Rhinolophus ferrumequinum: one gene and its partners. The protein of the gene in region 1 purifies or fractionates together with the protein of each later gene. This does not show direct contact. Links are inferred from orthologs where the notes say so. Each region holds a gene or a part of one and is shown on either strand. Other genes may lie near its edges.

Evidence for each region. Proteins that work in one complex are often made in the same cells at the same time.
Region 2: the proteins of MAP1S (region 1) and RASSF1 purify together in Homo sapiens (affinity purification with mass spectrometry; 4 studies listed by BioGRID and IntAct, counting the BioPlex papers as one, with this or other methods). This does not show direct contact. The link is inferred for Rhinolophus ferrumequinum from reciprocal best matches to the Homo sapiens genes MAP1S and RASSF1.
Region 3: the proteins of MAP1S (region 1) and STK4 purify together in Homo sapiens (affinity purification with mass spectrometry; 3 studies listed by BioGRID and IntAct, with this or other methods). This does not show direct contact. The link is inferred for Rhinolophus ferrumequinum from reciprocal best matches to the Homo sapiens genes MAP1S and STK4.

Annotation. Positions count from the first base shown.
Region 1 is NC_046301.1:50,744,374-50,748,116, reverse strand, and holds the start of MAP1S (microtubule-associated protein 1S), read right to left. Parts: upstream 2,441-3,743; 5' UTR 2,421-2,440; coding exon 2,294-2,420; intron 1,938-2,293; coding exon 1,692-1,937; intron 1,004-1,691; coding exon 902-1,003; intron 220-901; exon of another isoform or gene 82-219; intron 1-81. UniProt on the Homo sapiens protein: Microtubule-associated protein that mediates aggregation of mitochondria resulting in cell death and genomic destruction (MAGD). Plays a role in anchoring the microtubule organizing center to the centrosomes. Binds to DNA. Plays a role in apoptosis.
Region 2 is NC_046300.1:6,263,525-6,267,267, reverse strand, and holds the start of RASSF1 (ras association domain-containing protein 1), read right to left. Parts: upstream 2,911-3,743; 5' UTR 2,756-2,910; coding exon 2,506-2,755; intron 1,649-2,505; exon of another isoform or gene 1,546-1,648; intron 608-1,545; coding exon 501-607; intron 60-500; exon of another isoform or gene 1-59. Other genes in the region: ZMYND10 (zinc finger MYND domain-containing protein 10), read right to left, coding at 3,364-3,439, 3,531-3,656. UniProt on the Homo sapiens protein: Potential tumor suppressor. Required for death receptor-dependent apoptosis. Mediates activation of STK3/MST2 and STK4/MST1 during Fas-induced apoptosis by preventing their dephosphorylation.
Region 3 is NC_046306.1:12,782,331-12,786,073, forward strand, and holds the start of STK4 (serine/threonine-protein kinase 4), read right to left. Parts: upstream 2,165-3,743; 5' UTR 2,087-2,164; coding exon 2,052-2,086; intron 1-2,051. Other genes in the region: TOMM34 (mitochondrial import receptor subunit TOM34), read left to right, coding at 3,263-3,389. UniProt on the Homo sapiens protein: Stress-activated, pro-apoptotic kinase which, following caspase-cleavage, enters the nucleus and induces chromatin condensation followed by internucleosomal DNA fragmentation.

The sequences.
Region 1 (3,743 bases):
CTTCGGAGCCCAGATGTGCTTTGAATATGGAGACCCAGGTCCCAAGGCCGGAGAGGGAAGGATATTCTAGCTCCAGTTAACCTTTAGCAGTTTATCACGTGTTTCTTATCACACATCCAAGTATTGCCCAATTCAGGTGGGGAAACCAAGGCACAAAGAGGGGAAGTGGCAGTGGAGGTCACACAAGGCCGGCATGGGATTTCCAGCCCCGCCCCCATCCTGTAAGAGGTCAGGAAGCCACCTGGAACTGCTTGGACAATGAGGCGGTGGTCACTTCCTTCCCCTCCTGCAGCAGCCTGGACATGACTCAAAGGGCTGGCTGAGGCAAGGGGGGGCTACAGGCGACAGCCGGGTTCCACCTAGCAGCTGCTCTGTTCACCCCAGGTCACCCCAGAATCCCCAGGGAGCCACAGGCTATGTGAAGCTGGCCCAGGCATCCCAAATTTCTCCTCGATCTTACTCCTTTCTCAGCTCCCCATCTACTGAGTACCTGCTGTGTACCGGGCGTGTGCAGGAGTCACAGCCACTCACCAGACACATTCTGTCACACAAGGCCCGTACTCCCCCCTCTAAGCCCACCCAGCAGTCCCTCACTTTCCAAATGTCCTGTCTCTTTGCCTGGGCCCTTCCCTCCACCTGATACAGCAGCCCCAGCTGCTTCTCCTCCACAAAGCCCCCTTTTTGGAGGTCTCCCTATCCCCTACACCTCAGCTGCCTCATCTGTCAAAGGGGGATAAAAACGCAAGTTCCTGCCTCATAGGCTGTTGAGACAGCACTCCTGCCCCTGCTCTGCACAGGGCAGAGCTCAGGTGATTACTGCCATTGTTTGGACACTCAGAGAACACTTGCCCAATGAACACAGAAGGGGAGCAGCTGCGGCACACGGGGTCCCCAGCCTCACCTTTCACGATGCTGGAGAAGGTGGCTGAGTGCCGGGACACGAAGACCTTGAGCTGCTCATCCAGGCTGCAGATGCCAGGGTCAATGTCCCAGGACCGGATGCCTGGTGGGGGTAGGGGAAGCGAGGTGGGAAATCAGCCCCCTCCCCACAAGCTGCAGTGACAGCCTGGAAACTCAGAACCACCTCATGGGCCCTACGGGCTCACGGCAGCTGCACTGAGGACCCCAAAGTGTAACTTGGCATTTTACAGAGAAGATTCAGGACCTCAGCAAGAAAGCCCCCACCTGAATGGTCATCTGGCCCCCCCAGCATCTGCCTCACCCCACCATGGGTCTCACTGCTCTTCTCTACTGCTAGGCGTATTCCCACCTCTGGGCTTTGGCACCAGTTGTTCCCACTGTCCAACCCTTCCCACACCTTCCCACACCTCCCCACCCTTCAGGTCCTCTGGCCTTTGCATCCATCTGGACACTCCTGACACTGTTTGAGCTAAAAATTCGTTCCAGCTCCGCACTCATCTTGGGTCTACCCCAACCAGACCGTTTAGCCCTGTGACAGCAGGGCTCAGCCTGCCAATCGTCCCCACCCTGTGCCCTGCAGGGGAACATTCCCCAAGAGGATGAAGAGAGGTGTGTGCTGCCTCCCATTTTCCAGGCGACAGACCCCAGGCCCTGCCAACTGGAGAGATGAATGCCCTCCAACCACGGTGTGTGGTGCACCACGCCAGCGGGTCCCACCGTGCCAAGTAACTGCAGGTGAAGTGAACCTTGCAGGTGCACCTATGACTCACCTCCCCAGGTGCCAAATCTCTTGGGTAGGCCGCACTCGCCCACACTCCAATTAGCAGCAACTTGTGGTGCCACGGAAAGTGGGCCCTGGGGCTCCAGGCCCGGCCTCCTCATCCCTGCTCCTCCCTCCAGGACATCCAGGCTGCTAAGACCCGGGGAATCGAGGCGACCCGCCCTCCTCTGGGCAGGCCCGGCGGGCGGGAAGCGTAGTCGTCGCCCGTGTTGCCCAATCGCGCGGGTCCCAAAGCCTGGGCCGAGTCCGCTTCACGGACTGCACCCGAGTTGGGGCTGAGCAACCCAGCTCGGGCCCAGACGTCCACAGCCTCCGCCCGCGCCGTGCGCCTAACGGTGAGGGGAACCGAGCCCCGGGCCCCTGGATCACGCCGCCTAAACCCCTGGCCCAGCCGCCCGGCCCTGGCCTCCGGGATCCCGCCATCCTCCGCCCGGTGTCCCGGCCCCAGCCCCTAGGATCCAACCGTCCCCCACCCCCAGCCCGGTCTGGCCGCCACACCCTCCGGGCCCCCGCCCCATCCCCCAACCCTGGCTCGGCCGTCCCACCCCTCGTCTCTCTACTCCCGGCCCCGCTCCCCCGCCCCGGCCTGACCTCGTTCGAGCTCCTCCAATACATAGGCCAGCAGCCCCGGGCACCCGCATTCGCCTCCCACCACGAGTAGCAAGGCGCTGGGCGCCTCAGCCACCCGGGGCCCTGCCGCCGCCGCCGCCGCCGCCATCTTCGCACCGCCCTGACGCTAAGAGCACCCGCCCCTCTGGCCCCGCCTCCCCTGCCCCTGCCCCTTAAAGGGGCCGCACCGGAAACGCTGAAGACCCCGCCCGGAAGCCCCCCTCCTTCCGCTTATCTGCACCCTCCCGGCCTTTTGAGGTCTGGGCTGGTGGACTCTTGGGTCTCGCTTTGGGCTTCTCTCCCTAATGATCATCCATCCATCCATCCATCCATCCATCCATCTAACAAGCTTTGACTGCATGCCTACCACATGCGAATCAGAATCCCTGCCCTCCGGGAGCTCACCTCACATCGCATCACAGTGGGCCCAATCAGAATCATGCCCAAATACTCCTAGCTCCCTAGGTCAGGGCTTAAACAGAGAAAAGAAAGGTATCTTATAGTTCGGGCTTTGAGGGATATGTGGGGGTTTGCCAGGTGTGGGTGGTGGAGCAAGTGCACGGTGAGGCAGAAGCGCATGCTCCTGTGAAGTTTTAGAGCTAGCAAAGGACAGTATGTTTCAGACATTCCAGAGCACTTTGGGCCTGGAGTGAGGCAACCCACTTCTGCACCTGCTGTGTGCCAAGCATTTTATTCCACTAGCTCATTAAGTACATCCCTAAACCTCTGAGGTATGTGCTGTTATCAGGGTCATTTCAAAGGAAAGGAGAGAAAACTTAGGCTTGGAGAGATGAAGTCACGGGCCCATAAATGGTAGAACAGAGATTAGAACTCAGGTGGGCCTGATTCAAGATCCAGCCTGTGGCAGGGACTGACTGCCTGGTTCACAGGGGTACCCCTCGCTCCCCAATCTCATTCAGCCCTTTTACATATGGCTGTCAATACTTGAAAAACCATGTTGCATTAAACATTTTGACAGGGGCCGGTGCCCATGCTGTCTCCCTTGGGAGTGAGTTCCCCATCTCTGGAGGTATACAAAAGAAATCAAGACAAATGAAAAGATCTGAAAAGCAGAATTAGCCTCCCTCAACCCTTCATTATCTGACTTGTTCAGCCCAACTTCCTCCCTAGTGAGTATGTAACAGTCACTAGCCACGTGCTGTCTAACGTTCTGACACTCCACTTCCTCTCTTTTTGGCTCTAGCATCCTTCCTCTATTCCAGTCCCTCCCCCTTGGCTCCCTTCCTTGTGTCCTGGCTGCTCATGATTTTTTAAAACTTTGCTCTGAGCAAAGTTTTACCCTTGATCTTAGCCAAAAGGCTAAGAAGCGATCTGAGCAAAGTTTTAATCAGGAGAATGGGAGTGTCAGTCAGGCTCTGTCTCCTCCACAAGGATGGAAGCTTGTTGGAGGCCACACCAGGCTGAGGCCTCT
Region 2 (3,743 bases), on another chromosome or scaffold:
GCGGGCGCGTTTCTCCGTGTGCGCGTGCGCTGGGGCCAGTGCCCGCACCACGACCGTTAGCACGGAAACATAGCCCGCAGAGTCTAGCTCTGGTCTCATTGGAGGAGGAACTTCGAGGGGCGGGGCCACACGCGCATCGCCTCCGGGAATGATCTCAGCGCCCAGGCAGCTCAACTCAGCTCCACCCGCAGGCCCCACCTCCCCAAGGGACCACGTCGGAGCGTGTGCGCATGTGCACCAGCGTGGCTGCAGGACCGGATGCGGAAAGGTGCGGAAGTTGCGCGGGCGCAGAGCCTGGGCGATTGTGGCAGTCCGCACGAAGGCGGCACCCTCGGCACCCCTTCGAGCCCGCGCGCGCAGAGTTAGCCACTCTCCGCCGCGGGAAAATCTGCTGTCAGAACGCCCATTGCGCGTAACGCCGGGAGGGCCAAAGCATTGCAATGCGGCCCGCTAGTCTACGCGTCCCTGTCTCGCCCGTTCGCCGTCGGCCCCGCACTTACCACGTTCGTGTCCCGCTCCAGCGCCGGTTCCCAGCCCAGGTCCCGGGGCCCGCAGCAGTCCAGGCAGACGAGCGCGCGGCAACGGTAGTGGCAGGTGAACTTGCAATCTGTAGAGAGGCCTGGCCGTGAGACGGAGGAGCGCCAGCCTGGCGATGCGTCCCGGGGACGGAAGAGAAGCCCCGGGGTGAAGGCCATTGACCACCGGGCTCTGCATGACCGGCCATTTCAGGCCCCGTTACCGCCCACTGCCACACAGATTCTAGTGTTGGTCCCCGGCGTCCGGAAACGGGCAGGAAGGCATCGGGCTGTTAGGGAATCCAGGCCTGCTCTAGCGCCTAGCGCAGAACGTCCCCCTTCCACATTGTCAGCCCCCTCCCAGTGCCCTTGAAGGGGAAAATAGTTTTAATCCACGGCCCCCTCCAGTCATCTGTCTCAACTCCCCTCACACTAAAGCTTATCAACACTGATCTACATGCACTGTAATTTTTTGCCTTCACTCTTCTCTACCTATTCCAGTAGGGCTTGCCCCTCCCTCCAGGAAACTGTCCTGGTCTCGGTCCCTCAGCAACAGGCTCAAAGCCGATTCCGGTGGTCCCTTCTCTATCCTCACCTCAAAATCTGATGCTGCTCCCCTTGGTTCTCATGGACCCCCATGACCCCGATTTTCCCTCCTACTTCCCTGCAGCTCCTCTTGGTTCTGTCTCAATTCCCAGATCTAATGGCAGGCAGTGTCACAGAGGCTCAGTCTTGATCGCTTCTCTGCTCTGTGTACACTCACCCAGGATCCAAGGCTTCCATCAGTGGCCTCCCTCTCAGATCAACTCCTATGTGTCAGTACCTTCACTTCGATGTCTAATAGACATTTCAGTTCAACATGGCCAAAATTGAACTCACTTTTTTTCCACTTCTCCTTACCCTCACCAGAGTTCCTTGTCTCAGCAAAAGTTGCTACTATTCTCCCAGTTGTTTGAGGCAAACAAAACAACAAAAACCCAAAGCCAAATTTGTCCTTTATTCCTCCCCCGTTTCTGCCTCTGACACATACCCAAATTGTCCTGTTTTTCATCTCCATGGCCACTTTATTCCTGCTGGCGAACACTGCAGTGTCCCAGCCCTTATTCATGCCTTGTATTCTGCCACATCTCCGGTGTCCCCCAGCTGAATTCAGGACAGAGTCCTGTACTGGATGAGAGGGTCTCCATGCACACACAGACAGGCCTGGGACACCTTCCCTAAGTTCTTAAATGGGCCAGAGCAGTGATTCTCAACCCAGGCTGCACATTAGAAAGATGTTTTTAAAAATCCCTGATAAACTCCCAGTGATTGATTAAACAGGTCTGAGGTAGGGGCCAGGCATAGGGATTTGGAGGGCTGTACAAGCATCCCAAATGATTTTAGTTCGCAGATAGCCAGTGGGAGAGCAACTTCTGCTTGCTGTTGATTACCAGGAGGGCAGAAGGGCTGCTGGTGTGTGGGTGTCTGGGTCTCACGTTTTAGCACCTAATTGACAGGGTCTGTGATACATAATTGCTATCATCAAAATTCCTGCTTGCAGGGGGCCCGCCCAAGGTTCTAACTTTTCCCAAGCCCCCTCCCATAGGTGCGAAAATTCCCTTCACCCCAGGGATTCTGGAAGGGGACATTGGTGAGTGAACCTTTGGGAAGAGTCAGTCCTGGGAATATGGACTCAGAGACTGGTAGGCACAAAGCCTTTCTCAAGAAGGGCCAAGGCATTTTAAAGGTAAGAAACTTGAAATCAGCACCTTATTATTTACAGACAACTGCCTCTACCCAACTGTGCCCCAGACACGGGGGGCGCAGCAAGGATATAAAACATGTGCCTACACTCTCTTCCAAAATGGGGCAAAGGTAACGGACCTGGTCCTCAGGGACTGTCCCCACCGACCCTCCCCCACCCACACACACACACAACTTGAACTGCAGCGACGGTGCTGCCCCTTGACCACCCATTTCGCTCTCGCCAGCGCGTGGGGCCGCTACTCACGCGCGCACTGCAGGCCCTTGCGCACGACGCCCCAGATGAAGTCGCCGCAGAGGTCGCACCACGTGTGCGTGGTGGGCCCCGCAGGCTGGAAGCGGTGACCTCGGCCCGGGACCGGCTGCCTTGCCGGATTGCGCGCTGTGCCAGGCGCGATGCGCAGCGCGTTGGCACGCTCCAGCCGGGTGCGACCCGGGCGGGCGCGCCCCACCGGTGCCAGTTCCCGCAGTTCAATGAGCTCAGGATCAGCGGACATGGCCCGGTCGGCCCAGGCTCCGGCCGGCTCTGGGCGCGAACGAGCGCGGGGCCGGTAGGACCGCGGGGCGGGCCCCGATGCGGCGCCGCCCCTGAGATCCAGGCAGAGCGGTGGGCGAGAGCCGAGGAGAGCAGCTCAGTAGAAACCGGGGTGCCCAGACTGTGTCGGCCCGCAGGCAGAGTGGGGCCGCGGTGGACTCTCGCGGTGTCCCCGCCCTCCTTTCCTTCCCTCCCTTCATCCCACGAGCAACTCTCCTCCCCCTAACGACGACGACCGCAAAGGGCCACGCGGAGACAGGCGTGTTTCTGGAAGCCAGCTTTACTGTGCAAGAGGAAGAGGGTCCCCACATCCGGCCCCCGCCCTTGTCCCTCCTCCCCCCAGGCCTCCTGCCCCAGCTGAGGCAGCGCCCTAAGCCTACCCGCTGGGTGCGGCAGGAAGCGGGGAGCGCTTTGCTGGGGAAGATGGGGCAGCAGCTCCAGCCCGCCTGCTGGGCTCACCACCTGGGAAATTGGGGCTCTTGCAGAAGCCAGGCGGAAATGCTGAGGTTCAGGGGCACATTCTAGCTGGGGTGTATGGAATGGGTGGCCCGCTCTCAGGAGCTGCAGTCTTCACTTTGCTCTGTCACCTTGGGCTGCCAGGACACAAGCCTTTCCATGCTTCGCCCAGTGCTTGACTTGGCACTCCCTGCAGGCAAGTGGGCCTGTGAGGATGCAGCGCTTGTGGAGGGTGTGGAAGTGTGGCTTAGGGACCCGCTAAGGTCCCAGGATACCCTCACCTGCAGCAATACCACTCATTCTGGCACCGTGAACAGCGCTTCGAGGCCTCCGCACTGCAGTAGGCACAGCGGGGCCGCTCTGGAGCCACTGCCTCTAGCACATCCAGCCTGTAGGTCTCAGCCCACCTGGGAAAAGGGTCAGGGAGGGCTGGCTGGGCCTCATGGGTGGGGGCACAGGAGCATCCCTGCCTACGTCCATGCCTTCTGCATCCC
Region 3 (3,743 bases), on another chromosome or scaffold:
GCGACATGGCAGTCCTAACAAACTAATACAAACGATGATCAAGTTATCATTTGTATTATCGTTGCTGCAAACTAGGCAGTCTGCTAGTTATGAGGCCAGGAAAGCAATCATTCAAGAATTCGGCCCTGCCATGGCTCTTCTCTTGCACATTTAACACATTTTTTTAAAATCTAAAAGACACAGGAATGAGTGTCAAAAGCAAAAAAGTTCACTCTTTTGCACACGATTATACAACACAAGGCAAAGGTAGAAACAAAACTCAGATGTCTAATTTTCTTTTCAAGTAAACCAACACCATGGAGAAAGAATGAACATTATTTCATTAAGAAATATAACCGGTGTACATTCATAATTGGCTCACGATGGTGCGATAGCAAATCTTTGCTAACATACACAGGCCCTGTGAAACAGGGAGACTTCCAGAGAGGCATCAGAACCATGCAGTTAAGAGCATGGACTCTGGACCACACTGCCTGGATTAAAACCCCAGCTTTGCTACTTACTAACTGTGGGACCTCCAGCAAATCACTAACCTTTCTGTGCTTCAGTTTTATCACCGGTAACATAGATACAGAGATAACCGCCTCATTGGAATGTTGTGAGGATCAAATGTGTAAGTTGAATCATGTGAAATTACCATTTTTATAGGTCAAAAATGGTCAATATCAACAATTCCATATGGTTCAACAGGAGACATGGAAAAAGTACTGAGAACAGCGTCCAGCATTCAGTAAGTGCGGTGTGAGTGTAATAATCATTCTTATTTCAGTCTCAGCACACTGTAGTAGGGTGAATTATGAGTCCATCCTAACCAGCTACTTGCCTTCTGCAGTGTTTGTGCACTTCAAACAAACCCCAAGTGTGCAGCCCACGCTGCCAATCCCTTCCCTTCATCTCTCTATTGCCCTGCAGTCCACACACTAAACACTTCCTACTTCAGTGCTCCTTCTGCTGCAGGAAGTGAGGTCTCTGTGAAAGAGAAGCTAACTAACTACCCTGCACCTCGGAGAAGCATGACTTCCCTGCGTATCAACTATTTTTCTCCAGATGTGGCAGAGTGACACAGAGCTTAGTGTCCATGGAACAAATCAATGATACAACTGCCACCAACTCAGGAGTTCAGACTTTCTAGGCTCAGTCACCTTCCTGTTTTAAGAGCTTGACTTAAAACAATTCCAGGTAGCTGTAGGATCTGGAGGTGATATTCACAACAATCAAGGCCTGAAAAAGGCACAGTCTGGCCCGGGTCTAAGGATGCATTGCTAGTGCAAAAAAGGAAACACACAAGAGTGTGTCTCAACTCTCTGGGCCTCAATTTGCCCATTTATTCTTATTTCCTTATCTACCTTCCAAAGTCAGGTTTTGAAGAGCTGAGGAGGATGTCAAAAAAAAAAAAAGGAAGACACCAGACATCAGGAATGAAAAGATGCCGTCTGTCATTCCTGCTAGAGTGGGATCAGTACCAAAAAATCTTCCTAAATGCTATCCTCCACACCCCCTTCCCTTGCTAGACCTTTACCTTTTCTTGGCACACCTTCTGCCTTAGGAGCAAAGCTTTCCTCTCCCCTCAGCAGATCCTCCCCACGCTGTACCCCACGGGTGGGACTCCTTCCCTTACAAAGTCCACCCAGCCTTCCTCTCTGCTTGTCCAGATCCATTCCTTAGACCCCTCACAGGTTCTCATCCTGCTTCCACATTCCCCCTATCCCAGCGAGTCCCCAGGATAGCCTTCCCCCAGTAGCCCCAGCCCTCAGCAGGTGCTCTCTCGAACTTGTCCCCGCCTTCCTCAGCAGCTGCTCCCTTCAGTGATGCCCCTCTTCCCCGAGGATGTCCCCTCACAGAAAGTGCTCTCCCTAACCAGACCCACGTTTATCCCCCTCCGCGCCTGCTCCCCTCTGTCGGACCACCAGCCGCCAGAGGTCCCCTATTCAGCAGGTGCCCCATCAGCCGGATCGCCCGCCCCGTAGGTCCCTCCCCTCCGGGGGGCTCGCACATAGGTGTCCCTGCCTTTCCCTCCCCAACGCCGTTCCTCTTAGCCAGTGGCCCCTCACCGGCGCGGCGGGTTCCTCAGCTGCACGGTCTCCATGGCGCTGCCAGCAGCCGCCCAGACCCGCTCACTGACCCATCCTCCCCCGGGACCTCCCTGAGCCCGCCCAGCAGACCCTCCCACACTTCCGCTTTCCGCCCATACCGGAAGCGGCGTGAGGCGCGGGGAGCTGGGCAGGGCCCTGAGGCACCGGCCTAGATCACGTGGTGAGGGCCTGAGTCAGGTGGCGAACCAGGGCGCGGACCCGGAACTGTGGAGTCAAGAAGGCTCCTACTCTGTGTGCCCCAGTCAGGTTCGAGACTTGATGATGCGGTCTCGTTGCGACGCTTTGCCCAAAACACTCGGTCCCCAGGCCCACAACCCGTCTCTGCCTCGGTCCCGATCCCCCATTTCTCTGACGGAGATGCTGAGGCTGCTTGAGAAGTGCCGGCCTCAGTCTTTGAGAAAAACTAAACTGACACTCAGAGTGAGAAGTACTAAATTAGGGATAAACCCGGGGAACAAGTCCACATAGTGGAAGAGGGGAGGAGTAGTCAAGAAAGATTCGCAGATAAAATATTTGAGTTGATTGAGTCAGGATAAGGCAAGAGAAACGGTGTTTGGAAAATAATTCCAAGAGAAGAGCATAAACAAAGGTTAGGAAGCAAGAGAAACAGAAACAGATTCATGTGTACAGGTGGCAGTGCCTTTGCATTTGCGATCCCTCTGTCTGCAACAGCGTTGCCTAAATCTCAGGTCTTAGCTGTTAGTCCCTCGGATGCTTTCCCCATCCTCCTTATCTAAAATAGTCCCCACGTGGTCCCTTTCTAGTGCAGTAGTGTTTTATTTTCCTTATAACACTAACAACATTCTGAGGTTATCCTCTTCACTTGCTGATGAGTTAATTGCCTTTCAGGTCCCACTAGTATACAAAAGAAAGCAGGGACTTCGCCTCTTTGTTTCACGCATAGTGCTGCAACACACCAAGGCGCCCAACGCCGCTCCAAAGAGGTAGTGGCCCTCCGAAGCGTGTACGCCACACTGCGCATGCGCCGAGGGCCCGGCGCTGCGGCCCCCTGATTGGCGCAGGCCTCAACCCCGCCCACCTGCGTCCCTCCTCCGGGTCAGCTTGGCCATCGGACCCAGTACTCGCAGCTTGTGCTTCCGCCCGGACGCTTTTCCGCAAGACTCGGCGGCGGGAACGGACGCGCCCCCCATTTGCCGGCCGGTCCCGGGATGGCCCCCAAACTTGCCAACTCTGTGGAGGGGCTCCGCGCCGCCGGCAACCAGAGCTTCCGCAACGGCCAGTTCGCCGAGGCTGCCACCTTCTACAGCCGCGCGCTGCGAGTGATGCAGGCGCAAGGTACGACCCTGGCCCTCGTTTTCTCCGCCAGGGCTGCTTCTCTCTCGTCTCCCCCAGCCCCCCCCCCCCCCGGAGCCGAATTACTCAGACCTCGCTCTGTCCCTCGGTTCAGGGGGCTTCCTTTCCCCATGGCCCACTGTCCCACCAGGCGCCTCCACCACCCTTCCCGCCCATGTGGCATCTTACGAGTAACTTCCTTGGCCCTTTCTTCCTGCCTTTTAAAAAAATCGTAATATGGTTTTATTATTCGTTCTTTTTCACTTAATGACATACCAGAAACATAGTTCCATGTTAATAGGTGTTTTATCATTTTTTTTTGTTATGGTAAAAACACAACATTAAATTTACCATTTT